4 linked regions of the Xenopus tropicalis genome follow. The protein of the gene in region 1 interacts with the protein of each later gene in a pairwise test. Links are inferred from orthologs where the notes say so. Each region holds a gene or a part of one and is shown on either strand. Other genes may lie near its edges. The genes, in order: aqp1, rgs17, trim23 and cep44.

Evidence for each region.
Region 2: the proteins of aqp1 (region 1) and rgs17 interact in binary tests that used the Homo sapiens proteins (3 or more experiments, as listed by UniProt). The two-hybrid records come from large-scale screens. The link is inferred for Xenopus tropicalis from reciprocal best matches to the Homo sapiens genes AQP1 and RGS17.
Region 3: the proteins of aqp1 (region 1) and trim23 interact in binary tests that used the Homo sapiens proteins (3 or more experiments, as listed by UniProt). The two-hybrid records come from large-scale screens. The link is inferred for Xenopus tropicalis from reciprocal best matches to the Homo sapiens genes AQP1 and TRIM23.
Region 4: the proteins of aqp1 (region 1) and cep44 interact in binary tests that used the Homo sapiens proteins (3 or more experiments, as listed by UniProt). The link is inferred for Xenopus tropicalis from reciprocal best matches to the Homo sapiens genes AQP1 and CEP44.

Annotation. Positions count from the first base shown.
Region 1 is NC_030682.2:8,351,515-8,358,975, reverse strand, and holds the start of aqp1 (aquaporin-1), read right to left. Parts: upstream 4,583-7,461; 5' UTR 4,556-4,582; coding exon 4,151-4,555; intron 1-4,150. UniProt on the Homo sapiens protein: Forms a water channel that facilitates the transport of water across cell membranes, playing a crucial role in water homeostasis in various tissues.
Region 2 is NC_030681.2:42,987,837-42,994,729, forward strand, and holds the end of rgs17 (regulator of G-protein signaling 17), read right to left. Parts: intron 2,593-6,893; coding exon 2,404-2,592; 3' UTR 1,537-2,403; downstream 1-1,536. UniProt on the Homo sapiens protein: Regulates G protein-coupled receptor signaling cascades, including signaling via muscarinic acetylcholine receptor CHRM2 and dopamine receptor DRD2.
Region 3 is NC_030677.2:187,785,093-187,792,625, reverse strand, and holds the start of trim23 (E3 ubiquitin-protein ligase TRIM23), read right to left. Parts: upstream 4,308-7,533; 5' UTR 3,842-4,307; coding exon 3,752-3,841; intron 2,324-3,751; coding exon 2,161-2,323; intron 1,561-2,160; coding exon 1,439-1,560; intron 724-1,438; coding exon 445-723; intron 1-444. Other genes in the region: trappc13 (trafficking protein particle complex subunit 13), read left to right, coding at 4,396-4,441.
Region 4 is NC_030677.2:48,382,197-48,389,827, forward strand, and holds the start of cep44 (centrosomal protein of 44 kDa), read right to left. Parts: upstream 4,890-7,631; 5' UTR 4,781-4,889; intron 4,704-4,780; exon of another isoform or gene 4,608-4,703; intron 4,394-4,607; exon of another isoform or gene 4,101-4,393; intron 3,158-4,100; 5' UTR 3,117-3,157; coding exon 3,028-3,116; intron 2,293-3,027; coding exon 2,145-2,292; intron 86-2,144; coding exon 1-85. UniProt on the Homo sapiens protein: Centriole-enriched microtubule-binding protein involved in centriole biogenesis. In collaboration with CEP295 and POC1B, is required for the centriole-to-centrosome conversion by ensuring the formation of bona fide centriole wall.

The sequences.
Region 1 (7,461 bases):
TGGGGGGTATCTGTAGTGGGGGGGTATCTGTAGTGGGGGGTATCTGTAGTGGGGGGGTATCTGTAGTGGGGGGGTATCTGTAGTGGGGGGGTATCTGTAGTGGGGGGGCGTTAGTTAATACAGTAGGTGCCTCAGCTGTCAGTGGGTGCTGAATGGCTGCTGCTTGTGCAACTGTGATTAATAGTATCATCTGCCCAACTCTCTGCCTAACTCTGCCCTACTCTCTGCCTAACTCTGCCCTACTCTCTGCCTAACTCTGCCCTACTCTCTGCCTAACTCTGCCCTACTCTCTGCCTAACTCTGCCCTACTCTCTGCCTAACTCTGCCCTACTCTCTGCCTAACTCTGCCCTACTCTCTGCCTAACTCTGCCCTACTCTCTGCCTAACTCTGCCTACTCTGCCTAACTCTGCCCTACTCTGCCTAACTCCTCTGCCTAACTCTGCCCTACTCTGCCTACTCTCTGCCTAACTCTGCCCTACTCTGCCTAACTCTGCCCTACTCTGCCCAACTCTCTGCCTAACTCTCGCCTACTCTGCCCTACTCTGCCCCTACTCTGCCCTACTACTCTGCCTAACTCTGCCCTACTCTGCCCTACTCTGCCCTACTCTCTGCCTAACTCTGCCCTACTCTGCCTAACTCTGCCCTACTCTGCCCAACTCTCTGCCTAACTCTGCCTTACTCTGCCTACTCTGCCCTACTCTGCCCTACTCTCTGCCTAACTCTGCCCTACTCTGCCCTACTTGCCCTACTCTCTGCCTAACTCTGCCCTACTCTGCCCTACTCTCTGCCTAACTCTGCCTACTCTCTGCCTAACTCTGCCCTACTCTGCCCAACCTCTGCCTAACTCTGCCCTACTCTGCCCTACTCTCTGCCTAACTCTGCGCCTACTTATGCCCTACTCTCTGCCTAACTCTGCCTACTCTGCCCAACTCTCTGCCTAACTCTGCCCTACTCTGCCCTACTCTCTGCCTAACTCTGCCCTACTCTGCCCTACTCTGCCCTACTCTCTGCCTAACTCTGCCCTACTCTCTGCCTAACTCTGCCCTACTCTGCCCTACTCTCTGCCTAACTCTGCCCTACTTTGCCCTACTCTCTGCCTAACTCTGCCCTACTCTGCCCAACTCTCTGCCTTACTCTGCCTACTCTGCCCTACTCTGCCCTACTCTCTGCCTAACTCTCTGCCCAACTCTGCCCTACTCTCTGCCTAACTCTCTGCCTAACTCTGCCCTACTCTCTGCCCTACTCTCTGCCTTACTCTGCCCTACTCTGCCCTACTCTGCCCTACTCTCTGCCCTACTCTCTGCCTAACTCTGCCCTACTCTGCCCTACTCTCTGCCTAACTCTGCCCTACTTTGCCCTACTCTCTGCCTAACTCTGCCCTACTCTGCCCAACTCTCTGCCTTACTCTGCCCTACTCTGCCCTACTCTGCCCTACTCTCTGCCTAACTCTCTGCCCAACTCTGCCCTACTCTCTGCCTAACTCTCTGCCCTACTCTGCCCAACTCTCTGCCTAACTCTCTGCCCAACTCTGCCCTACCCTCTGCATAACTCTCTGCCTAACTCTGCCCTACTCTCTGCCTAACTCTCTGCCCTACTCTCTGCCTAACTCTCTGCCCTACTCTGCCCAACTCTCTGCCTAACTCTCTGCCCAACTCTGCCCAACTCTCTGCCTAACTCTCTGCCTAACTCTGCCCTACCCTCTGCCTAACTCTCTGCCTAACTCTGCCCTACTCTCTGCCTAACTCTCTGCCTAACTCTGCCCTACTCTCTGCCTAACTCTCTGCCTAACTCTGCCCTACCCTCTGCCTAACTCTCTGCCTAACTCTGCCCTACTCTCTGCCTAACTCTCTGCCCAACTCTGCCCTACTCTCTGCCTAACTCTCTGCCTAACTCTGCCCTACCCTCTGCCTAACTCTCTGCCTAACTCTGCCCTACTCTCTGCCTAACTCTCTGCCTAACTCTGCCCTACCCTCTGCCTAACTCTCTGCCTAACTCTCTGCCCAACTCTCTGCCCAACTCTGCCCTACTCTCTGCCCAACTCTCTGCCCAACTCTCTGCCCAACTCTGCCCTACTCTCTGCCTAATTTTCTGCCTAACTCTGCCCTACCCTCTGCCCAACTCTCTGCCTAACTCTCTGCCTAACTCTCTGCCTAACTCTCTGCCTAACTCTGCCCTACCCTCTGCCCTACCCTCTGCCCTACTCTCTGTCCAACTCTCTGCCTAACTCTCCCCTACTCTGCCCTAATCTCTGCCCAACTCTCTGCCCAACTCTGCCCTACTCTGCCCTACTCTCTGCCCAACTCTCTGCCCAACTCTGCCCAACTCTGCCCTACTCTCTGCCTAACTTTCTGACTAACTCTGCCCTACCCTCTGCCCAACTCTCTGCCTAACTCTGCCCTACTCTCTGCCCAACTCTGCCCTACTCTCTGCCCAACTCTGCCCTACTCTCTGCCCAACTCTCTGCCCAACTCTGCCCAACTCTCTGCCTAACTCTGCCCTACTCTCTGCCTAACTCTGCCCTACTCTCTGCCCTACTCTCTGTCCAATCTCTGCCCAACTCTGCCTAACTCTCTGCCTAACTCTGCCCTACTCTCTGCCCAACTCTCTGCCTAACTCTCTGCCTAACTCTGCCCTACTCTCTGCCTAACTCTGCCCTACTCTCTGCCCAACTCTCTGCTCAACTCTGCCCTACTCTCTGCCCTACTCTCTGTCCAACTCTCTGCCCAACTCTGCCCTACTCTCTGTCCAACTCTCTGCCCAACTCTGCCCTACTCTCTGTCCAACTCTCTGCCCAACTCTGCCCTACTCTCTGCCCAACTCTGCCCTACTCTCTGCCCAACTCTGCCCTACTCTCTGCCCAACTCTCTGCCTAACTCTGCCCTTCTCTCTGCATAACTCTCTGCCCAACTCTCTGCCCAACTCTCTGCCCAACTCTCTGCCCAACTCTGCCCTACTCTCTGCCCAACGCTCTGCCTAACTCTGCCCTACTCTCTGCATAACTCTCTGCCCAACTCTTTGCCCAACTCTGCCCTACTCTCTGTCCAACTTTCTGCCCAACTCTGCCCTACTCTCTGTCCAACTCTCTGCCCAACTCTCTGCCCAACTCTGACCTATTCTCTGCTCTACTCTCTGCCCAACTCTCTGTCCTACTCTGCCCTATTCTCTGTCCAACTCTCTGCCCAACTCTCTGCCCAACTCTGACCTATTCTCTGCTCTACTCTCTGCCCAACTCTCTGTCCTACTCTGCCCAATTCTCTGCCCAACTCTCTGCCCAACTCTCTGCCCAACTCTCTACCAAACTCTCTGCCCAACTCTCTGCCCAACTCTCTGCCCAACTCTCTACCAAACTCTCTGCCCAACTCTCTGCCCAACTCTCTGCCCAACTCTCTGCCCAACTCTCTGCCCAACTCTCTGCCCAACTCTCTACCAAACTCTCTGCCCAACTCTCTGCCTTACTCTCTGCCCTACTCTCTGCCCAACTCTGCCCTATTCTCTGTCCAACTCTCTGCCCAACTCTCTGCCCAACTCTGACCTATTCTCTGCTCTACTCTCTGCCCAACTCTCTGTCCTACTCTGCCCAATTCTCTGCCCAACTCTCTGCCCAACTCTCTACCAAACTCTCTGCCCAACACTCTGCCTTACTCTCTGCCCAACTCTCTGTCCATCTCTCTGGCCAACTTTGCCCAACTCTCTGTCCATCTCTCTGGCCAACTCTGCCCAACTCTCTGTCCATCTCTCTGGCCAACTCTGCCCAACTCTCTGTCCATCTCTCTGGCCAACTCTGCCCAACTCTTTCCACCAATAGAACAATTATGCTCTGCAGGGACCCAGGGCCACAGGTCCTATTATGCCCCACTAAGAAGAGTTTGGACTACAAAGAGATTATCTTGGATTGGGGGGCTTGTAGCCATAACTGGGCACATGTAGGTGCATTTATGCCAGCACTGAGCATGGGAGGGGCCTATAAACCAGCTGCTATTGGTCACCCATTCTCTATCTATCTAGATGGATAGATAGATAAATAGATAGATAGATAGATAGATAGATAGATAGATAGATAGACAGACTGACAGACCTGACCAATGACAATGTGTAGGTGCCAGCTGGCCATATACAGATGGGTACACAATGAGACTTGGGGGTACTTACCCCATTGAGCCCCAGTGAGTTGTTGCTGATCTGGGTGGTGATGCCGGACAAGATGGCGGTGCCCACGACGGCGCCCAGGCATTGGGCAATAATGTACATAAGAGCCTTCAGGATGCTGATCTGACAGCTGAGCAGGCAGCCCAGGGTGACAGCTGGGTTGAGGTGGGCTCCGCTGATGTGGCCAACGCTCTGAGCCAACGTGGCAATGGCCAGTCCAAAGGCCAAGGAAACCTTGACGATGTCTTGTTGGCGAGTGTCGGTGTTGGTGGCGTTGGCGGCGTCGGCGGGTATGGGGTACTGCACCCCCAGGGCAGCGCCAATACTGATAAACACAAACAGGATCATGGCCAGGAACTCGGCAATAACTGCCCGCCAGAAAGCCTTCTTCTTCAGCTCACTCGCCATCCTCTCCCTCTCTGTGCTGCTTCCCTATGGGCTCGGGTCTGAGGGAGAGAGGAGCCGGGGGGATATTTATAGGGGCCGGGGGGGTCTGTAGGCGGAGAGGGGGGGTTGCACAAAGGGAGGAAGGAGCAGCCGCATCCCAGTCTCACTGCCAGTTACTCCTGCCGGCTCCCCCACCTTCCCCAGTTACTGATTTACTCACAGACTCACTCCCCATACACATACGTGTAACTTACTCACTGCAACTCCCTGCCCCAGTGAGCTTACAATCTAAGGTCCCTTTCCCATTCCCATCAGTCCCTGCCCCAGTGAGCTTACAATCTAAGGGCCCTATCACATTCCCATCAGCCCCTGCCCCAGTGAGCTTACACTCTAAGGTCTCTATCCCATTCCCATCAGTCCCTGCCCCAGTGAGCTTACAATCTAAGGTCCCTATCCCATTCCCATCAGTCCCTGCCCCAGTGAGCTTACAATCTAAGGTCCCTATCCCATTCCCATCAGTCCCGCCCCAGTGAGCTTACAATCTAAGGTCCCTATCACATTCCCATCAGTCCCGCCCCAGTGAGCTTACAATCTAAGGTCCCTATCACATTCCCATCAGTCCCGCCCCAGTGAGCTTACAATCTAAGGTCCCTATCACATTCCCATCAGTCCCGCCCCAGTGAGCTTACAATCTAAGGCCCCTATCACATTCCCATCAGTCCCGCCCCAGTGAGCTTACAATCTAAGGTCCCTATCACATTCCCATCAGTCCCGCCCCAGTGAGCTTACAATCTAAGGTCCCTATCCCATTCCCATCAGCCCCTGCCCCAGTGAGCTTACAATCTAAGGTCCCTATCACATTCCCATCAGCCCCTGCCCCAGTGAGCTTACAATCTAAGGTCCCTATCACATTCCCATCAGCCCCTGCCCCAGTGAGCTTACAATCTAAGGTCCCTTTCCCATTCCCATCAGTCCCTGCCCCAGTGAGCTTACAATCTAAGGTCCCTATCACATTCCCATCAGCCCCTGCCCCAGTGAGCTTACAATCTAAGGTCCCTTTCCCATTCCCATCAGTCCCTGCCCCAGTGAGCTTACAATCTAAGGTCCCTATCCCATTCCCATCAGTCCCTGCCCCAGTGATCTTACAATCTAAGGTCCCTTTCCCATTCCCATCAGTCCCTGCCCCAGTGAGCTTACAATCTAAGGGCCCTATCCCATCAGCCCCTGCCCCAGTGAGCTTACACTCTAAGGCCCCTATCCCATTCCCATCAGTCCCTGCCCCAGTGAGCTTACAATCTAAGGGCCCTATCACATTCCCATCAGTCCCTACCCCAGTGAGCTTACAATCTAAGGTCCCTATCACATTCCCATCAGTCCCTGCCCCAGTGAGCTTACAATCTAAGGTCCCTATCCCATTCCCATCAGCCCCTGCCCCAGTGAGCTTACAATCTAAGGCCCCTATCACATTCCGATCAGTCCCCGCCCCAGTGAGCTTACAATCTAAGGTCCCTATCCCATTCCCATCAGCCCCTGCCCAGTGAGCTTACAATCTAAGGTCCCCTATCACATTCCATCAGTCCCTGCCCCAGTGAGCTTACAATCTAAGGTCCCTATCACATTCCCATCAGTCCCCGCCCCAGTGAGCTTACAATCTAAGGTCCCTATCCCATTCCCATCAGTCCCCTGCCCCCAGTGAGCTTACAATCTAAGGTCCCCTATCACATTCCATCAGTCCCCGCCCCAGTGAGCTTACAATTCTAAGGTCCCTATCACATTCCCATCAGCCCCTGCCCCAGTGAGCTTACAATCTAAGGTCCCTATCACATTCCCATCAGTCCCGCCCCCAGTGAGCTTACAATCTAAGGTCCCTATCACATTCCCATCAGTCCCTGCCCCAGTGAGCTTACATCTAAGGTCCCTATCACATTCCCATCAGTCCCCATGCCCCCCAGCTTACAATCTAAGGCCCCATTCCAATCAGGCCCCCCCCATTCCCATCATGCCCCAGTGAGCATTCCCATCAGTCCCTGCCCCAGTGAGCTTACAGTCTAAGGCCCCTCCCACATTCCCATCATCCCTGCCCCAGTGAGCTTACAATCTAAGGTCCCTATCACATTCCCATCAGTCCCTGCCCAGTGAGCTTACAATCTAAAGGTCCCTATCACATTCCCATCAGTCCCTGCCCCAGTGAGCTTACAATCTAAGGCCCCTATCACATTCCCATCAGTCCCTGCCCCAGTGAGCTTACAATCTAAGGTCCCTATCCCATTCCCATCAGTCCCTGCCCCAGTGAGCTACAAATCTAAGGCCCCTATCACATTCCCATCAGTCCCTGCCCCAGTGAGCTTACAATCTAAGGTCCCTATCCCATTCCCATCAGTCCCTGCCCCAGTGAGCTTACAATCTAATTTATAAAGAGTCTGAGTCATTACTTAATGGAAGATCACTGGGTTATATTAACAAGTACCTTGGTTATTTTTGGGAATCAGCCCTCTGTTTCCTCCACAGCATGTCAGGGGTTAACACGGGCGTAGGACTGCCCCAGGGCAGCGTGCTGTACTTACTGGGCTTGATTGGCAGCACAAGGCGGCTGTACATTTGGTCTGCGTTACTCTTACCCTCAGCACAGCTTCTGCCACTGACCTGCCCTCCATGATCCTCGCATATTGCTCAGTGGTCCTTACGTGCCTCTTGGCACGTGGCCACCAATTCTTTCCAGCTGCAAAGTAACGGGTAATGCAAAAGCCTGAACAAAAATAAACAAAATAAGTTTGCCCATAGCCTGTACAGAGAGATACCATAAAACTATGGCACATAGGGATTCCCCTGTACTAAGCACAATTCAGCAGGAACAGCCCCCTAAGTTTGCCCATAGCCTGTACAGAGAGATACCATAAAACTATGGCACATAGGGATTCCCCTGTACT
Region 2 (6,893 bases), on another chromosome or scaffold:
TCTTATAGACTATATCGGTACAAATTCATTTCTCAACATGGTCGGAGTTATTGCTCCTTGAGCACCATACCATCTAAATGGACACAAAAATTCGAACGATACAGTAAACACAATTTTAATTAGGCAAGGGTCTTCTCTAAATCTCAGTAAATGCAAGTCTTCATTCCTGAAGTGGAAATATCACTAGTTTATTTTATTTTTAACTTTTTTTTCAGATTTTCTAAAAAAGAAAAAAAAATAAGAACCCAACACACACACATACGCACTCAATTTCTGTGCAACACACCGTAAGACTTATTCATGGCAGGGAGAAAACGCCAGTATGAATAAACTTCGCACAGGAGCATTCTCTGACAAAAACACATTTTTATGATAGAAATTATCATTTATAAATATTTTTATCGTGAATGTATCTACAACGTTACAAATAGTAGTCGTATTTGTCGTAAAAGTGCTGAATATCTCAGAATATCCAGATCCTCAATGTAAACAGAACCTATATTTTCCTATTTACAAATTTATTAGTTCTTTTAACCTTTTTTTATTTCTGTCAAACACTTACACAGGTAAACTATTTGCATAGGGAACAGGTAATAGCCCTTTAATATCCATTTCTCCTGAATTCTGTACAAATTACCAATGCAAAATATTTCATTTTTATAGATCTTAAACCATGCAAAATTATAGATAAAAAAAAAATTACACAATTGAAAAAAAGTCTGAATAAATAAAGCAAAAATAAATAATACCGAGGTAGTAACAAGAATTTTAAAAGAAAATTGTAACCGTGAGGCTGGATTTGCCGCTCCGAAAATCATGCAGTTTAAGCTTTAATAAGCATTTTTACTGTCACTGTGATGTTAGATCTGGCAAGATGTGATCATTTTTTAACAAATTTTGCTTTTTTTATAGAGATAATGGAGATATACGTTGTGTATGTGTGTGTGTGCATGTATATATATATATACAGGTATAGGATCCCTTATCTGGAAACCTGTTACCCTGAACGTTTCAAAATACGGAAAGGCCATCTCCCATAGACTCCATTGTAAGCAAATAATTATTTTCTCTTTAATAATAAAACAGTACCTTGTACTTGATCCCAACTAAGATATAATTCATCTTTAGAGGCAAAACAAGCCTTTTGGGTTTATTCAATACTTAAGTTATGGAGATCCAAATTACGGAGAGATCCCTTATCTGGAAAACCTCAGGTCCCGAGCATTCTGGATAACAGATTCCACACCTGTATATATTTTATATATACACTCAAAGCAATTTAAAAACCATAAAAAAATCTACCGTAAAGCAATACGAAGAATAACGTTTGGTTGTAATGCTGGTTTCTACAGATCCTTGTTACTAAGAATGTTTAGAAATGTGTAGAAGGATTGATATTTTACAACATTTTCAAAGTAGCTATTTTTAAAGTTAAAGTTTCTTTGTCAAAAAAAAAGTAGTTCTCATTCAGTCATAATAAAAGACATCTGTGTCATCAAAAGGTTTTCAAATGCTACATATAGGTAAACATCTTCATTTCTATTTTTCTTGAAATATTAAAGTATAAATATTTTTATTTTATTTTTTTTGCTGAAATACATAATGCTAGACAACAATGTTAAAACCGGTCGCCCAGTTTTACTTACATTTACAATGTACATAAATATGTTTTTTTTTTTTTGCTAGAACAATAAACAATATCAGCTGAAATATTTGGTCATCCATACAAGGTATCCTTTAGATTGCTTGTGCTTATTTGACATTGCAAACTCATTAATAAAAATATAAGAGAGCCACAGTTTGGCAGTGAACATCCGTGGAAATTCCACTTTAATTTCCTCCACACAAGGATAATTAGCTTTGCTTGTTTGTGTATTGGCTTGTTAGTATCCACTCTTTATACCACTGTAAAACACCATCTAATTGAAAATTGGATTATCCTAAAATGCCCATCTGAAGGAATACAAATCAAGCCAAAGTTTCATTTCAATATTTGAACATAATACTGTATTGCACATAAAATGTCAGTAACTACGTCGTTAATGCAATTGGCTATATATTGCAACAATGAATTGGTGTGTTGAGGACAGCTATTACCCTTGCACATGCAACATGAAATAAAACAAGGAGTCTGTTCATAGTCCACCCAATATATCATTGTAATGATATACTCAAGTAAATAGCATAGAAAACAAATGTGGCAATTCCAGTGTTGCTGTTTTTCAAACTCAAAGATGAAGAGCTTGTAAAAATGGAGACGGAGACCAAACAATTTTTAAAGTTATTCTTCACAGTAGCCTGAGTAGTGCACAAGTGGAGTTCTCCAGGAACTCAGTGTCTGATGGTAATAAACTACATATGTGTTCTGTTAAGAAAACAAGATATGTTATCCAGAGGTTTTAGCTAAGATTCAGTGATTGAGCCTTCTGTACTTTCAAGAAGAGACTTATAGACTTGTGAGTTCAAAAACCTTGGAAAAGAGTCTCTGTGCATCAATGTATAGATCTGAAGCTGGGCATCTTCGTACATATGGGGGGTAGGATCCAGCAAATTCCGGTTGATCACTTCACGCACTCTAGAGTCGAGGCTGACCTGTAGGCATGAAAATGAGCAAGTTATTGATTGCTAGTGTACAGTTTCACTGGGCATGTATAGTATTTTGTTTTCCTTTTCCGTGTTTTCATGGCAATATCAGTACATGGGAAGGCCAACTGTTCACAAATCAAATTTTTGAGTTTTTTTTCCTAATTCAGGAAAACTCAAAAAGCTTGAATGTGTGCTAATATATTAAAAAATGGAATTTCAAAAACTTGATATAAAACCATGAAAAAATGCTAAATCCCATAATACCTTTTAATGTGCCACATTTTAAATGAATCTCAAAAACTCAAATAAGTTTGCTCCAACTCCCATTGACGTCTACATGAACTCACAAGCTTCTTTTTCTGTTTGTGTTTTTGAGCATCAAGTTTTGGAAACCCAAATTTGAATTTATGTTTTTGTTGCAAAAATCTTAAATTGCAATAAAAACTTGAATTTGAATGTTTATAAAGCTTCCCCTTAGTTTAATGTCTGTAACAATATTGGCTTAAAGACGTCTATCCAATAAAACACCCTGTGTGTCATAAGACTAAATAAAAATGATTTCCAAGATTTCTCACATAGCATAAAGTCATCATTTACAAATGGAAACCTGTTCTTATGCCTTTTCCCTAAAGACAGTGTAAAAACTGAATTATGGATAGAATACTTTTGGTGCAAGAATGTAGCCATTTATTTGTGTTTGCAGGCACATTTGCAAATATTCTGTTTGCCTTTATTACAAAAGAGTCTAAGGAGCACCTGAATTTGACTTTTTACTGCAATCCTATTTTTTGGGGCAAAAATCACAAATTCGAGGTCCTGAAGCGTGAATTTTCGAAATTTATTATGCACAAAAACTCAAAAATAAAAGTCATTAGGAATTGTATTAGCAAGCTATTTTTCAATTAAAGTTTTCAAGACTAATTCAGAATTTAGTAGAATGTGATTTTACCACGTTCCAGTTTTTTTTTTTTCACAATTTCCACATTTTTTAAGATTCAAGTGTTTTACTAAAGGAGCACAGACTTGAGATTTTACATTTTTACGAATTGGAAAAAAAACCTTAGAAAAAGTCGAACTTAACATTTTTGATAAACCTGACAATCTTATGCAAAATAAACTCATGTTTTCTGACTTTCCCAACTGGATCATTTTATTTTAGCAAGGCTTGCTATAACCAACAGGTTTGATTCCAATGTCTTTGATTCCAATTGTTCATGCTGGTTATTCTAATAATCATTGGTAGGAAAACACTTTTGTAATGACAATCCCTTCTTGATTAACACTAAATTCAGCCAAATGTTCAATTTTTTTTGCTTAGGACATTGCTTTCCACCTTCCCAGCATAACACCATAGTTACTCTTCCATTTCCTAAACATATAGCAGATAGGCTTTGTATCAAAGTTTTTCGATTACTACTTGTTTTTTTATTACTCTATAAAAGTATTTTGATATGCTTGGGGATATTTTAGTTTAGTGAAAAGATAAGAGAACTTTAAAAGAAATGTGTAAGTCAGCTTCATGGCATATTGACACACTGCCAAGAGCATAAAAGATATATATACATGGGCTGGCTTTTGGCCATGCTATAAAATGTACTGCTTTTTTAAATAAAACAAAATCATATTTATCACTTATGAAGTCATAATATTCCATGCCGTCTACATTTCCCTTAACCCAGATCAAACGGAAATTTCTCCTTAATCTCTGCATTTTCTGGGTCCCTGGTGAGGTAATAAAGTCTTTCTCTACCTCTGCTATACACCCTTGTGTATCTCACGGTGCTGTGTTGCTTACTCACAGTTATAAAAGACAAGGTGATTGGACAGTGTCTGATCATCTATTGTTTTAATTTCTCTGGTGCTTATTATTTTCTCTTATAAGAAAACATAGAGAGGAAAAGGAACATGTCCAAGTATAGATATAATGACCTCTAACTGAGATCCTTAAAAAGCAAATGTGACTAATGTGGTCCTGGTTCAAAGTCAAACATTTTAGGCTGGTTTCAAAGGAAACCTCAGCCTACACATGATATTCATAGTGCTTCTCAGAGAACTTTTCAATTATAAATGCAGATGTTTCCAAAAAGTCAGAACTTCTGCTATATACTGTATATACAGCAAAAACGTTCTGCTCATAGGGTAGAGTCCTACTCACTAAACTACCACACTTTATTACATAAAGTATGTTTAAAGAATCTCATTGACAAAAGTGTAGAATGTACTTCTTGTGTATATATATATATATATTGTTAGAAAAACCATCAAGAGCAACCACATCCTCTGCTTCTATACTAATCTAGTAGTATAATAATCTGGCTCTTTCATGTGGATCAAGCTATCAGCAAATGAGTCATAACGGAAAGCTTTTGGATAAGAAAACCTTGCTGACTTTTTTTCTATCACTGTATAACAGGGAAAATCAGTCCAATCAGCTTGTTTCTGTGCAGCTCACTGGTAAGGAAGGGGTTTTATTGATGATAGGGTGGCAGAAAGAGTTTGGCTTTATTGGGGTTTGCAGGAGATCTGCTTCTGGGCAGGTCCCCATCTTTGTGTGTGCTCAGCAGTTTACAAAAAAATTTCAATGAATAACTGGCTGACAAATTTTTTGGCTGATTTCTAGTCATGGGAAAGGACTTGTCATCCCAAGCCCTTACAAGTAATTGTTCAAAGTCCGAGGGGAATCAGACTTTATACTCATAGCAACAAGGAGGAACACCAAGTGAGCAAGTTGTTCTCCCTCTGTAGGTATCACAGCACCTAACCCTAGACATCTTGGCCCAGACAAAAAGCTTCATGGTCATATTTTCTAGAGATCTACAAAAATTTTGACAAATACAACAATTATACTTGTAGCACAAATTGCCTGTATGTGTTTGTTAAAGAAATCCATTAGCCAGGTTTGGTTTAGGGAAATTAACTGAATGCAACCTGAGAATTTGCTTATATTAGTCTTAACATTTTACTCCAGAGATCAGCAGAAAGGCATGCCTCTGATGGCATTCCAGAAAACCAGTAGCCGCCCTCCATAGCTCAGAGGCTTTGGTGCTTTAAGAAGATGGTCCTTGGCCATGTACCCTGAAGAATGATTTTTCTAAACATTGGTTCCTCCTTGGGATCTCAGTATAGTCTTTAAATGCCTTTGAGCATTTAAGTATTATTAGTCATTAAGCATTATTAGTTATTTACATGAAATACACACATGATCATTAAGGAACATGCAGTTTCCCTTTGCAACCTCAGTTCAGACCTAGGGTCTTTTCAGTATTCCATTTACATTCCATTTACAACAAGGAAAACCGCCTGCCTGGCTGCTTAATCCAGAGATATTCAATCTCTAAGGGTCTCTCTTCACACTCTCCTAGAGCTGTCCCTATGGCCTGAGCAGAAAAAGCAGTGGGGCCAAGTGCAACTATACAGAAGTGCAAGGAGCATGTTGACACAAGTACCTACTGAATGTCATTTTATGTGCAACTGACTACAGCCAAGAGCAACTCTGCTTGTGTTCGTAAATGGTCCCTACTGTCACTATAAACTAAGTTCGAGGAAAGGCAGAATTAGGAAAAAAAATTTCAGCACTCATTAGTTATTACTACCCCTTTTTTCTTACAGAATATAGTTTCCTCTGTCCTTAGGTGTGCTGCGAATAGAAAGTAGGGAATATGCGAATTTTCATGCTCTAAAATGCAACAATAGATCTCTACAGGGATAAGTGACAGAAACTGAACTGTCACCTTAATAAGTTCTGTCTTGAGGGCAAATGACTTTTTTATAATCTTTAAAATTAAAAAAATTAAGGTGTATTATAATATTAGTACCAAATTAGCAAGAACAAATATTTACAGCTAATGTAGAACAAAGATGAGTAACACATAACTTAAGAGTATTAGTTGTTGCCTTTATATAAATCCCCAACCAGTGGCTTATGAACAACATGTTGCTCACCGCCCCATTTGATGTTGCTCCTACTGTCCTCAAAGTAGGTGCCTATTTTTAAATCACTGGTTTGTAAAAAGCTTTGGAAAGATAGAGACACAATTTTACGCCAAACAGAGCCTCCTGCAGGCCACCAGTCCACATGGGGCTACCAAATAGCCAATCACAGCCCTTATTCGGCATCTCCTAAGAACTTTTTAATTCTTGTGTGGCTCACCAACACATCTTACGTCTGAAAGTGGCTCAAGTAAAAAAAAAAAGGTTAGAGATCCATGATTTAACCCAACACTGGACCTTCCAGAAGTCAGTTGCAGACTGAGATCCCTCTCATGTGTGTACCAAAAACAATTCCAAAGCTTGAAAGACATATTGGT
Region 3 (7,533 bases), on another chromosome or scaffold:
TGATATGTTTCTATTTATTTTTATAGGAACATGTCATTATTTTCTGGCTCCCTGAACAAAGTAAAAGAGGGGTTCTACTGTAGTTTCTAAGAAGGTACACACCTGCAATTCAGGGATGCCATATTTTCTCAAAATGGCGTCCCTGATATGTCTACAGTAAAGCTGGTCATACATTGCCAGATCTGGCACACTGGGCCACTTTAGGCTGATCCGATCATTGGTCATCAGATAATATAGAGGGGTCTATAGGCCTATTGGATGATGATGTCATCATATGCTGATGCAGACCTCGTTGGATGACATAATCAAACCTGACAGATTGATAACTAGCCAATTTACGTCAATAGATCAGTTGGGCAGGCCCAAGAGCTGCTAACTCTTGTAGGCAGAGTTGGCAGCTTTTATCAACCTTTGTATGGCGACCTTTATTCTCCTGATACCTACCTTGTGTCCCTGATGTTTTCCATATTCTTTGCAGACACAGCACATCAGAGGACTGGGCTGGCAGCCATCTTCCAAACAAACAAACTCTATAGCATGGACTTGGTGCTGAGAGCACAAAGTCTTTTCATAAGGCTTATCAGCTAAAGGAACACGTCGGTGCTTGGCCAGTGTTTTAGTGGAATGTGTATTCAAGGAGCAGTCTGCACAGAGATGGGTTGCACAGACTGTGCAGTACACAGATGCTACATGGGCTTCATCTTCATCACAGCGTACAATGCTCTACAGAATGAAAGCAAGCACAAACACTGCTGCTTAATAATCAAGCTGATACTCTGACAGATTAAAAACTTCCAGCGAATGAATAATACAACAGAACATGTACAATATTTTTCCAAAGAATCCTAAAACAGGGTAATAATAGAATGAAATATCTAGAGCACAGGTCCCTAGAACTGCGAGACCCATAGGTATCCCGAAACAAGAAATCCAAATGGAGTAAGATATGGATATATGCATACTTGTGGTCCTGTATACACCCAAAAATTTGTAGGAGCACTTCCTGAAGTTCAAATAAGATAAACTTTGTGCTGATTTGCTGTCCTTGGTATTCTGCAAGCTGTATTAGCATAACTAATAACTGATAAAGTGATGCTTACATATATTTGTAGCTTTGGTATATGGTAAGGGGCTGGCCCTGACCAAATCTAGGACAAAAAAATGCATTTAGAGGGTCAGAATGGTGTTAAAACTTTGACAACTTCAACAACCAGATTATATTTTTTGTTTATAAAATCTACTTTTATAATCTACTGAATTAGCCAATAAAAGATATTGTATACCCTGTAGCTTCTGGTTTTGATGTAAATCATACAAAATTAACTGAAAAGTGGCTTATAATAGGTCCATCTATATTAACATAGCTAAAACAGGTGAATAAAAAAGTTGAATACCCTCTCTACCACATGTACTATACAATAACTACAGTCAGCATTACCTCTCCAGAGCCGCCCATTGCCTCTTCTACAGTGCTACACTGACTACTGGCACCATTCTGCAACCGCTCCAGGAGTTCCAGTAATGCAAAATTTTTCTTTAAGCCCCACACACCAGAGTCTCCTGTATAAGAACAAGACATTTACACATTATTTAAACAAATAATAATCTTAATTTCTTACTGTTCAGCTTCTCTGCAATTATAAGACAATGCCTAGTACTTGATGGCAATGAAGGTAGCTTATTGTATCCAAACTGGCATCAAAACAATATATATATTTTTTAAATATGTCAATGCTTATTTAACAGTCTTAAGGCATGATGATCCAAATTAAAGAAAAAAACCTAATCCCATACCAAAGGAATAATTCATTAAATAAAACAAATGGTTTTTAACATTTTGGAACAGAATAAAGGAGAGATTCTCAAAAGATGGGCTGTTCCCAGAGTTTCTAAAGCACACCCAGACTGGCAATCTGTGGATTCTGGCAAATGCCAGAGGGGCAGCTGCCTATTATAAATCCCAGTCTGGGCCTGTTTGAGAGCAGTGGGTCACCCAGTATCTATTTGTTGCAAGAGAGAGCAGCTAGTGCAGAGCAACTTGAAGCAAATGGGAAGCAATCTGCAGCAGGTAACAGCTATCAAAATCCTTGTGTTATAGAGACCTTAAATACATTACATAATACTATTGCTTAGTAAAGTAAAAAATGAATTCTTTAATACCTAGTTCAGTAGCTTGTCTGTCAAATGGACAGCGTATGGCTCTGCCATGAAGAGGCAGGCGTGTTAGACAGTCATGGCACACAGTATGGCCGCAAAGCAGCAAACGTGGAACTTTATCTCCTTGCAGTGAAAAGACATCTTCACAGACACCACATTCCAGAACCTAGTGTTGATTAAACAATTGTGGAAAGGTTACATTGTGGAGAGACATTTAAATATATCAGTCTGAAAGTTACGAGGATGCAACCATGTTGCTGGATGTATCATTTGCTTGCTAAAGATCAGGCTGGGGACCACTGCTCCTCCTGAACAGCCCAGGAAAGCTGCCTGTGGAAGTGGAAAGGCTGGGTGGTGCTAATAAGGTTTAAGATAAATTAAAGCAGCATTTTCTCTTAAAATGATACAGTGCTATGTATCCTTGCAGCAATATAAAAATAAAGTTATAAATACATACAATAGGCTTATTGCCTTTGCAGATGTGGGTATGGAATATCAATAGCTGCCATTGGGTATTATCCATATGCTTCCTACATCTAGCTGACTTTGCATGCTGGGAGTTGTAGTTCATTGGGAGTTAAAACGCATAGGAAAGTTGAAAGACAACCCTGTATAGGACATTTACACTTATCCATACAGCCAGGGCTGGAGTTAAAGGGGGGTGGGTAGCTTGCAATGCAGAAAGCCTGGAGTCTGATGAAGGGGATTAATATATGTATATATAATATATTAGGGATGTTTAACCTGCAGCCCTCCAGTTGTTGTTCTGCTAGAACTCTCAATAGCCCTACTAGCCAATGTATGGAGGTGCAGTACAACAAGAACAAAGAGCTCTAAGGCTGCCCATAGCTAATGTCAGTGGCATAACTAGAGGTGTCTGGGCCCCACAGCAAATTCATATTACCCCCCCCCCCCCCCCCTAAAGTTTAAGAGTTATTGTACATAAGTATATACTGGAATTGCTTATCACTCAGTGTCTGGGCCCCACAGCAAATTCATATTACCCCCCCCTAAAGTTTAAGAGTTATTGTACATAAGTATATACTGGAATTGCTTATCACTCAGTGTCTGGGCCCCGCAGCAAATTCATATTACCCCCCCCCCCCCTAAAGTTTAAGAGTTATTGTACATAAGTATATACTGGAATTGCTTATCACTCAGTGTCTGGGCCCCGCAGCAAATTCATATTACCCCCCCCCCCCCTAAAGTTTAAGAGTTATTGTACATAAGTATATACTGGAATTGCTTATCACTCAGTGTCTGGGCCCCGCAGCAAATTCATATTACCCCCCCCCCCCCTAAAGTTTAAGAGTTATTGTACATAAGTATATACTGGAATTGCTTATCACTCAGTGTCTGGGCCCCGCAGCTTCCTCTCTAGCACAATATAATAGGCCCTTTCTGCTTTGTTTCCCCCTAGGAGTATCCCATCTCCGAAACTGCCCTTTCCCCTAAAGCCTCCCTGCACTCTGCAACGAAATGATGTAGGAAGGAGAATGCATATAGCCAGACGCAGGGGGGCCCTCCTGCAGGGATAAACCAGGGCCCAAACTACACGGCATACACTTCTCCCGTAACCCTGCTCTAGTATCACCTTTACTGCTCCCCCCGGACCGGTCCGGCTCTGCCGTCCGCTGCCCTCCATTCTTCCAGGGCCGCCGTGTCTGTTTACAGCGACAGCCATGTTGACAGCTGGACCGTACCACTTCGGGTAGAGGGTTGAGAAATCATGTGAATCCTGGTGTTGAAAATGGCATTATTTAAGAATAAACCCTGTTTTAAAAAACAATGAATATATCTACTTAGGTTCATAACAGTAGCAATCTGAGAAGTCTAATCCGTATGACACCACCGACTGAGCAAAAGGCTTTTAAAACTATTACTAGCGAAACCGCAAAGTGGTTTCACCCAATAGCTATAACCCAACTCAGTCTCTTGCCTCAGAAAAATGGGAGCTAACGCTATAAGGCGCCATCTTAAACATTGGCAAACGTGCCCTCATATTTTTCCCCTGAAACAAAAACAAAATGATAGATAGCAGAGACGGCGATTCTGTGGTTCTGCAGCTTTTGTCGAAATAAAAGTTTTGCAGGGCTCTGTTGCAATGTGAATAATAGAACTGAGAAGCGGAAAAAGCCTCTGCGCATGCGCATTTTGTTTTACTAGAACTGGCCCTTTCGTCTTCCCGTACAGGCAGTTCCGGGTGTGTGTAGGGGTGGTGACGGCGGTTCTGGCACCATGGACGTCAATCAGCCCAAGCAGGAACATTTGTTGGCCCTGAAAGGTATCAGTGTGAGGCTGTGGTGTGTGTTCTCTGCGCCCTGACTGGGGAGTCAGCCCGGCCTGCCCCAAGCTGTAGCACAGGAGCCAGAGCTTTCCTGCACTGGCCATTCCCATAGGTGTCCTGGCCCACTCACTTCTGTTCCAGAGTACATAGACTATGCACCTAAGCAAGAGGCTGCCCTGCCTTGCCCTGTCATTTCTAGTTACTTCCATCCCTTGCCATTATGGTAGCCACATTGAGTGATCTTCTTAACCATTGATGCTACAGTAACCCCATGGCAGCGCAGTTAGTGCAAATGATTATTCTGCAAAGCAGCAGTTACTCAGATTGTCTGCCATAGCTGAGTGGCCCCCTCCTGCTTATGCTTGCGTTTGGAGCAGGTTGGGGGCCCATAGGACACAAAGAAAGTGCATGGAATTAACCAATTGGGCATGATCTCATTGGTGGGCTCCACAACGGTTACAATACATTTTTGTATGATTATCCTCAAGCAGGGGAACTAAAATACAATAATGCTGGAAATACAGAAAAACTCTGTGCTGACTAATAGACATGATAAATGATAGACATACCAACCTGTACCAACAGTGATGGGAAAGATAAACTGTAATCTCAACTAAACCAGGTTTTTATTAAGAATATATCATTAAGGAACATTTGTTCTAATTAAAAGTAAGTTAATAGCAAGGATGAGCTCATCCAGCTGACAAATATAAGGGTTCTACTATTTTTTGAGAGCAGCGTCATTCAAAAGTTACAGTAGATGTAATAAATAGCCCTGGTATCAGGTAGTAATTATTTAGGTCTTTTGGGGCTTTAAAACATTACACGGGGGCCAATTTATGCATATACGTGTAAGGGGTGCAACAAACAGCATTGTAAAGTGAACCTTGTGCAAGCAGAGCTGTGCAGCAAAACAAATTAATGGCACACACAATGCCAAATTAACTAACATTAATGGAACAGGCAGGTCAGTACAATGAAATATAATACAAAATACAGTTACATTCAGGATTAAGTGGTAGAGACGAGAGGAAAGAGATTTTCCCCATAGAATCTAGATAGGAGTTCTCTAATAATCAGACATTGATAGATGTAAAGCAAAACATTTTTTCCCATAAGTGCTTTAAGAAGATTTTTCTGATCAATTTAGTGGCTTGGAATATAAGCAATACAGTATGAAAATAATACGATAATTCTCTTTTGGTGCTGGCTGCTTTGTAAATAGCTGCTCCAAAGTGCAAATATAAAATTTAATAGATTGTTAACAACATTTTTTTTTTGTGGATTTGCTTCAGTTTATGGTGTCATTATGTGTTACAGGTATGGAACCTGTTATCCAGAATGTTCAGAACCTAAGGCTTTTCCACATAATAAAACCTAATAGGACTGTTTTGCCTCCAAATTATTTGGATCAAATGCAAGGAACTGTTTTATTATTGCAGAGAAAAAGGGAAATCATTTTTAAAAATGAGAAATATTTTCTCATAATGGAGTCTATGGGAGATGGCCTCCCATAATTTGGAACTTTCTGGATAACAGATCCCATACCTGTATGTTATTTGCTTCAGTTTATGGTGTCATTATGTGTTACATTAGCCCATAGTCTGCCCTTAAGCTATTCCAGGAGATCTGTGTCAATGTACTTTACTGAAAGTCCTATTTGTGACTACTTCACATCCCCCCATGCAACACTGATCATTTATAATGGATAATTCAAACATTTTTGGGCTGATTTCTAACCACTGTTAATCTTTCCTTCTCTGTCAGGGTTTTAGATGTTCTCTTTCTGAGGATACAGAGTCTATTGATATAGAAATGTTTAGACCATTATCTAGAACAGGGATCCCCAACCTTTTTGACCTGTGAGCCACATTTAAATGTAAGTTGAGTTGGGGAGCAACACAAGCATTTAAAAAGTTCCTGGGGTGCCAAATAAGGGCTGTGATTGGCTATTTGGTAAGCCCTATGTCAACTGGCAGCTTATAGAAGGCTCTGTTTGGCAATACACCGGGTTTATATACAACCAAAACTTGACACCAAGCCCAGAATTAAAAAAACAAGCACCTCTTTTAGGGCCACTGGGAGCAACATCCAAAGGGTTGGTGAGCAACATGTTGCTCACGAGCCATTGGTTGGGGATCACTGATCTAGATCATGGAGATGATCTTATTATATCCTATAAAGCTTTATTCTCATGCAGTTGTACATAAAGGCTAAGCTATCAAGGGCAACTAACCACTCCGAAATGGCTTTCCACCGCCAACAATAGGAATCGGTGGGAAAGCCTTTCACATCACCTCGGTTTTCCGAAGTCACGTGAAGTTGCCTGCAGAAGGGAACTTTGCACAACTTACTGAAGAAATGCAATGGCTTTACCATTGGTGACTCCTGTTGTTGCTGGTGGAAAGGCATTTATGAGCGGTAAGTCGCCCATAATAGCAGAGATCTATCACATGTGACTGAACCGCTCCCTTGGTCCCTAGCCTTAACAGATTTTCTTAAAAAAAAAAAAAATTTTTTTTGTGTGTGTGCTGTATCTGTGTGATTTATAGTAGCACCCTAAGTGAGCTCTGGTTTGCACCAAATAAGCATCATAAATAGAGGTTATGGGGAGCTATGTTTGTGGTTGTTGTTTTTTTTCTCTTACCTATGGAAGTTGGTTGTGTTAAGGTTTGTAATGAACGTTCTGATGCTCTGGTTGGCTACAGGTTGTGCCTGTTCCTTCCCTCTCAATGGTTATACACACAAGATCACAAGCAGAGATATTGCTGTAGGGGCTTATACATCAATCAAATACTTTTAGGCTGTATTTTTAAAGAAACTTTAAAACTAGTTGTATTTGTGCTAGCAAAATCCAATAATAACCATAAAGGTCCTTTAAGTTTACACCAGTCATTGGGTTATTGATAAGTGAAAGCAAAAAGTCCTATACCATTTCAGTTATTCCGGGTAAATGCCTACTTTGCAGTTTAATGTCATTTATCTTGTGCCCTTGGATGGCATCATAACACAGCTTATGTTTGGGCTATTGTTTCATAGAGGGTGATTGGTTCCTGATGATTTGTGATATGATTTGTGATAATACATGG
Region 4 (7,631 bases), on another chromosome or scaffold:
TTTGTATTTTCCGTTCAGAAAATGAACTCTGAAGAAATTGCTGTTTTGTTAATATAGGTTTATAATTAAAAACATCTCTAAGAACCTAGAGAAAAAAAAACACAAGGAAGACTCAGTATTTGATAACAGTGTACTATGTACACTGTACAATGCAAACAGTGTACAATGCAAACAAAATTACATTTTGGAAAAGGAGACAAAATTTTTATCTGAACTAGCTGTACTGTAAAATAACTATTATTCCTGATAGATTACTTTACTGTGGGAAAACTAAGAGGCTAGAGGTATGAAGAGCAGGCTTTTACTTTTTATTTCTGGCTAGTGCAGCTCTTTTAAAGTAAAAAAAAAACTTTCCATGTTTTTTGTTAGGTGCACAACCTAACACACTCATGCTGTGCGTCACTGATAGGTTACACCTGCTCTAACTGGCAGGTATGTAAACAATTTGCAATGCACTACTGACCAACAGCATGTATGAGTTATTTGCAGTTGCCTTAAAATTAGATCGAGAGCATACTAACAAACCCTTCATATCTCAAAAACCATAAGAAAAAAATACAAATTGAAATTTCATTTTCTTTTCTCTTTCTTTGGTTTACTTCTTCTCCTCTTCTTTCTTTTTTTACTTCCACCTGTTTTTTCATCATTCTGCTACCCCCCTCCTTTTCAAAACTGCACTTTTGCCCCTTAAACTGCTCCCCACCCCCTCATTATGCTATCTATACCATTCCTTAACAGAGTTCTTAAAAGGCCACTCTGTTCCAGAAATGTATATATAAATGGAAACAACAACTTCAAAGTTTCTTTTTTTCATGAAAGCCAGAGAAAATCAGAAAACTTTGATAAAGAACTGCTTCAATCTCTGGCTGTTCGCATTTGTAAGCAGCTCTTTAGGTCTGTACATATCTCTGAACAGGGTTGGGATTTGGGTTCACTCTCTTGCAGACTCTCCAATCTGCTTAGCATTTTACATCGATAAGAATACAGCCTGGTGCACAGAGGGCTACAATGACACAGCAATGATGCATGCACTTAAACTCAGATTCAGCACTGCTGATTGCCCTCCATTTACAAAAACTTTACAGTTGCATGCACGTCAACTTAAGGTGGCCATACACGTGGCGATCTGACGATGTTTCGTACGACCATCGGTCGCACGAAACATCGTAAGATCCGCCACACACCATTCAGGGCTGAATCGGCAGGTAAGGAGGTAGAAACAATAGGATTTCTACCTCTTTCTGCCGATTCAGCTCTGAAGGGAGAATTTTGGTCAGGCGCCTTCTATGGCGCCCGATCAAAATTTTCAAACTGGACCGATCGGCGAGTCGTCCGATATCAGCAGCTTCCTGCAATATCGGTTGACTCGCCGACATGCCATACACGCACCGATTATCGTACGAAACGAGGTTTCGTACGATAATATCGGTGCGTGTATGGCCACCTTTAGACTTAATATACACTAAAAGGCAGTAAGCAATTGACAAGGTCCACTCCACTTATTTTTAAGCTTGCCAGAAAGTATTTATGTATTAGTGAATAATGCTTCCCATGTGGAGAAGGTGTTTCCTAAACGTCTCCATACTGATTCAATATTAATGTGAGAACATACATTAAAATGAAATAATATGCAAGGTGAAAGTGCATCAGTTAGATAGCATTCCACTGATCAGGAAGATAAAGCAGGTGAATGGAAGTGCGCAGTGCATTTATCCTTAAGTTGAGGTGATCCTAAGGGAGATTTCATAGTAAAGTGCTTGGAGTATGTGAGAGAGTTGGAAATCATGCAGCACAAAAGTGCATTCATTCCTGCTGGTCATATTCCTAACGCGTTTTAGCACTGTGTAGCCTCAGTTAACGAAGCTACTTCCTGAGTGAATTTCACACGTGTCTATATAAGACCGCGTCACTACAGTCAAACTTACCTGGTCTTCCATTTCGCATGAGCCTACATACCGGAGTATATAAAACTCAGCAGCACGTCAAACTGCTAAGACCCTCCATGACCCATTATTACGCATATGCAACCACATATATGGATGAACATAATTCCTAAGCCACTCAATTCAGATATGATACATAAGAATACATGGGCAAAAATAACATTACGGTACAAAGATTACTGATCTTAGAATACAATTTACCTTATAGACTGCTTCAATAAATCTCAAATCGCTCTTAGTTGCGAGCTCTATACCCAAAGAAATCAAAATCTCTGCAATGCTTGTGGAATAGCATGTGAATGTGTAACTGATGATAGGCAAGAATGCAGAAGGATCTCCTTTAATCAATCTGTGGAATTTAAAAAATGTTAAAAAATAATTTATCTATGATTAAAATTAAGCATGGCAGGTGCTAGAAATACTCATTGCCAATATTCATACAGTTCCCATTGGTTTAAAAACTAATTGCTGGTAAGAAAACTGTCTTTTTTAAAGATAACATGACATTAAAAAGAACTGACCTGTATAAAGTTACTTAAAGAAGAAGCAAAGGCTAATAAAGAGTTAATCTCAAGCTGCAGGCATTCCTTCAGTTCTCTCAATAGTGCCCTTAAGTCTCCCCATATTTCTCCCGTTCTGATAATCAGAAGCCTCACAGGAAAAGAAAAATGCTGAGCTCTGTAAAGAACGTTCCCATAATGCCTTGCTCCTGCACCAAGACCAAGACCTGTGTACATGCTCAGTTTGTAAGACTATGAGGAAGCTTCCAGCTAATTGGCTCAGATCACACATTCCTAAGATGGGGGGGGGGGAGTGAGTTCTTAGCATTCTTGAGGGAGAGAGGAAAGAGCTGTGTGTCTCTGGCACAGGAAAACAAAGAGACAACAAATTCTGTTTCTTTTGACAGAGAACTCAGTGCAGTGTTGCTGTGAGTGCTTATAGCTGTATTTACATAGACCTTTCCGATAAAGCTTACTTAGTTTTTACCTTTCCTTCTCCTTTGAAAAAATAAAAAATAAAACACAGTACTAAATATCTTTTTCTCAGAAACATAATTATAGGACTTTAAGAAAGGGAATCTTACCCTGAATAGTCCACATCCCTAGGGTAATTAAGTGTTCTTAGTCTTTGTTCTAACTTTCGAATACAGCCTTTTACATCCCCAGTTGCCATGGTTTTCCTAGATCTTCCACACACGAATAACCAAACTTAACCTAAGAAACAGAAGAAGACATATTAATGTTATGGATATATATATGATGCCCTGAGAAAGGTCCCGATGGGGACCGAAACGTTACGGCGGCTGTTTATGCTGTTTTGAATATATGTTTTGATTTTTCACAAGAAATCCCGGAGTTGCTGGTCTTTTTTATACTAATTATATATATATATATATATATATATATATATATATATATATAATAACCAATCCAAAAAAAATAGTTTGGACAAGATTATCTCTTTCACACACATCTATATACACTGAAATTGTGCATCATTTGGCAACCTGCTGTCACATGATGAATGAGGAAAGTGCTCACCTAAACACAGGCCTATGAGTGTATATCCCTACCTGAGAACCCTGCGAGATAGGCCTGAGCTCACAGAAATTATTAAGCCCCAAAAGCTTGCATACACTTTTGCAATGTAACTTTTCAAGCATCTGATGGATGCGTATCAGAGAGCTGGCACCGGCGGAATTCTTTTATTTTGCAAAGGTGCCTTAGTGGGAAGCTGGCTGATGGTAAACATAGTACACACCCCTGTTGTATTTCTGTCTGGAGTAAATACCAGGATTTTACACTGCTTCAGGCTAAAACACTAGTTGCAATCTGCACAATAACCCTAGTGCCAGCACAGACAAACGATAAGGAAAGCATTACAAAGTATACTTGGTGGAGGGTAAAGGCCATTTACTGTCATACACACTGGCATCTGGGCTCCCTCATAAACCATTCAAAGCCAAAAGCAACTAAAAGCTGCAACTAGAACACTAATATTTGTAAGGTAATATAAAGGCAATTATAACAGTTTACCTATATTGAGGTTATTGCTTCATCTCCTGTACGTCTGCCAATTATTATTTTATTATGAGGGGCGCATCAAAGTATTACACAAGTCATGTGACACCCAAATAGCCTATGAAAGCAAACATACCCTTTTGGCCCTCCGGTTCCTTAGCTCACCTCGCTTTTCAGAGCTGGTAGGACATAGGTAGAAGTGCAAGTGTTTGGAATACCCTATAACGCCTTGTGTTGTAAGAGCCCTCACAGCGTCCCACACACAGGCTCTTTCCAACCGAACGCTACCAGTCCCCGCACTCCCGCTTTCAACTTCCTGAGCTCCGCATAAATGGCTTCAGCTCAGCTCAGCCCCACTTTTCCCCATACGAATCCTCCCGCCATTCCACAGCCCAAAGACCGCTCACACGGAATGCGCGCTCCCGCGTTATACGTAACATAGAAAGCCAGGCGCTCCCGCGTTAGCTGTAAAACCACACGCTGCGCACTCCCGAATTCACTGGAAACCCCCTGAGAGCGCGCTCCCGAATTCACTGGAAGCCCACTAGGAGCGCGCTCCCGTATTGCCCCCACTGTTTATTTCCACATAAGCACCATGTAGTCTATATAACGTATTTGTTTTACAAAGGTGGTCCCTACAACCATGTTAGAATCTGCACAGCAGAGCCTCTACGGCGAAATATTTAGTAACCCCTTTAGAAAAACCATAAAACGTTTTAATGCAGCCGTCTCACGCCAGGTACCTGTACCATTGATACATTTTTTTTATTTTGGTTTTATTGCTCCTTTAACTGCTATGCCTACTCAAGGCCGAACCTAGTTAGTTGCTCTAGCGGCCTTTTATCAAATTCCTCACTAAAGGTGTCATCATAAGTTCTGTCATTTCCAGTCGAGTTGGAGGAGTCTGCGAAAACAGGAAAAGGAAGTTGGAGTGGCTCCTGTGGTAGCCATGGCAACACCCATAGCGTCATTACTGAAAGCGTAATAGAATAAGCAGTACAACAGTTTAGTACACATTGAGCAAGTTTGTCCCGTCTGCCTCCTTGTAGGTTAGTGACATCACGGTCACATGATTGGATGCGAGAAGAACCACTGGGAGCTCAGGAACCAGGCAGCAGAGAGGAGCAAGAGAGAGCGCAGGAGGGTTGTGTGCACCTGTCAAGATACGGCACTCATGGTGTAAGTAAGTGGGTTTCTTCTCACTTCTGTTTCTCTGACTAGCGAGAATGGTTGCTTTTGAAATTCAGATCTTTGGGGTGTAGGAATACAAAGGTTCATGGCATTCACTAATCCACCTTTAACTCTGTTTAAGTGAAAAAATAACTACAATTTAAATGTGTCAACCATATTTCTTGCAAGTGAATGTTGTTTTGAAGTGTATTCAAATATTAGCACTGATCCCACGCCCAAACTCGAGAGTCAGGGGAATTAGTGCTTGTGACTCATGTAACTTTTGGTTATAGCACTGAGGTGATACTGGCTCATACCATTAAACTGTGCCCATACCATCTGCACAACCTAATGTCCTGAACACTGCAGCTAGTCCTAACTGATTCCTCTGCCTGCACTTTGTCTTCAACCAACAGCTCAACTCTTACAGAAGCAGGAGGGCTAGTTACTTGTATTGGCTGTGTTGCTTAGATTACTGTTTCCTTTCTGCCCATGGAGCATCTTATCATGGAAATGGTATGAGCACAATTTACTGAAATGGTACTATTTACTTTAATTTTACTTTGCTTTTAATTGAGCTTATTTGACATAAAGTTCAGTTAGTTAGGATTATGTAAATAAAGGTTAATAGACACATACAAAGCTGCCCTGTGCCCAGCTGTACTTTGTATGGACATAAACCCTCAGTCAAAAAATAAGAAGAAATATATTGGGGTTTTTTTCACATCAAAAATGTTGACATTTTCACCCCAAGAAATTGTCCAGTTTCAGAAAATTACCCCATAGGCTGCAGAGAAAGTATTGACCAAAATGGTCATTTAGTCTTACACCAGGCTGTCTGTGTTGAGATAAGGGGGGGCTGATACTCTTATATAATAAATAAGAAATATATATATTAAAATTTGCATCTGTCAGGCGAGGGTAGTTTTAATGTACCAGCACTGTTTGAGGGGAACACCCCCTGGTTGGTAAGGTTATTTGGACCCTAGCAATCAGATAGCTGCTGAAATTCCATACTTGTAGGTTCTAAACAAAAAGTGAAATAATTAAACCTCATATAACACAAAAAATTAAAAAGAATTGCAAGATGTCTCAGAATATTACTCTTTACTTCATACTGAAAGTTAACTAAAAGGTGAACAACCCCTTTAAACACTGTGCTGCTGATCTTACGCCAGTATTGACCCATATATCAAACACTTCCGTAGCTTCTGGACTATTCACCTCTTTATTCACGCAGACCTGTTTTGAACTATTCTTAAAAAAGACACACTTGACCCATCTAAGTCTACCTGACACATCTCTAACTACCAACTCTTTTTATCACTTGCCTGTATTGTGTTATCTTCTATTTTTTACACCTACAATCTATTGGACCCTTTGTAATTTGGCTTTCAATGTGCACTTTACTAAGACAACATTGTTAAGAGTTAGTTATTGTTCTGTGCCTAAGCTATAACTACATGCACATTATATATTTCAATTAGCTAGGTTATCAGGTGATTTAAACAAGGAATGGTAAAAAAATAAATAAAGCGTTAATTATTGGCCTATACATGTAGATCTATGTGCTAAAAAAGGATTTCTTCTAGGATGCTGTGAATAATTTAGAATGATCACTCATTTTTAAAATAAGTTAAAAGCTGCTGCAGTGCAAACTTTAACTTTCTTCGCTTCTAGAAATGAGCTGATTCTGGGCACACACGTGAGCATTTCATCATTTTGGAGTCCTGGGCATTCTAGCAATGATACTTGGGTCCATGACCTACCCAAGAATCATCACTGATCTCTCAGGCTCTCCTGTCTTATATCATGTGCCAATAAGGTTTATGTGGTCCTGTTGCCTTGCAGACATCCTGAAGAGAAGCTTTCAAGCTCCTCTGCTTGCTTTTGTTTACAGGGTATCAGCGAGCGAAGGAGCAATTTACACCAAAAGCTAATCAGGGTTCTGGTCTGAATGAGGTCTGTGGGGCAGAACTGTTTGTTTATAATGCAGTCTGAACCCACGTGTAGTTTATGCAACCAGCAGGGTAAGAAGGCATGCGCAGTTGCAATGAAACACGGGGGTGTGTGATATGGGTAAAAGAACATGGCAGAAGCAAAGTCTTTAATACTGGCAATGTTTGAACTAGTAGTGCACAATTAAAATAATAATAAAACAATTTTTAATGTGGCGGTTCAAGAGGAGGGGTAATGAGAAACATTTGAGAAATGTTTCTTTTTTGCAGGTTTAGTTCTCCTTTAAGGAAACCAATAATAAGTTGTTCTTATTGTATATATTGGTATAAAGCCTTAATAATTACCGATTGTGTGCTTATAACAAGCAGTTGGCTGGGGGGGAAAGGTTGGCAGTTACATCTCTTCAGCTCCTCAATTGCTTGATTTGTACCCAAACTACTATCAAATATGTAAATGGAAAATTAAATATCAAATACATTGAAGACAATTGGGAAGATGCAACACAAGTGGAATAAGTTACAAAGTCATATTTCCTCAT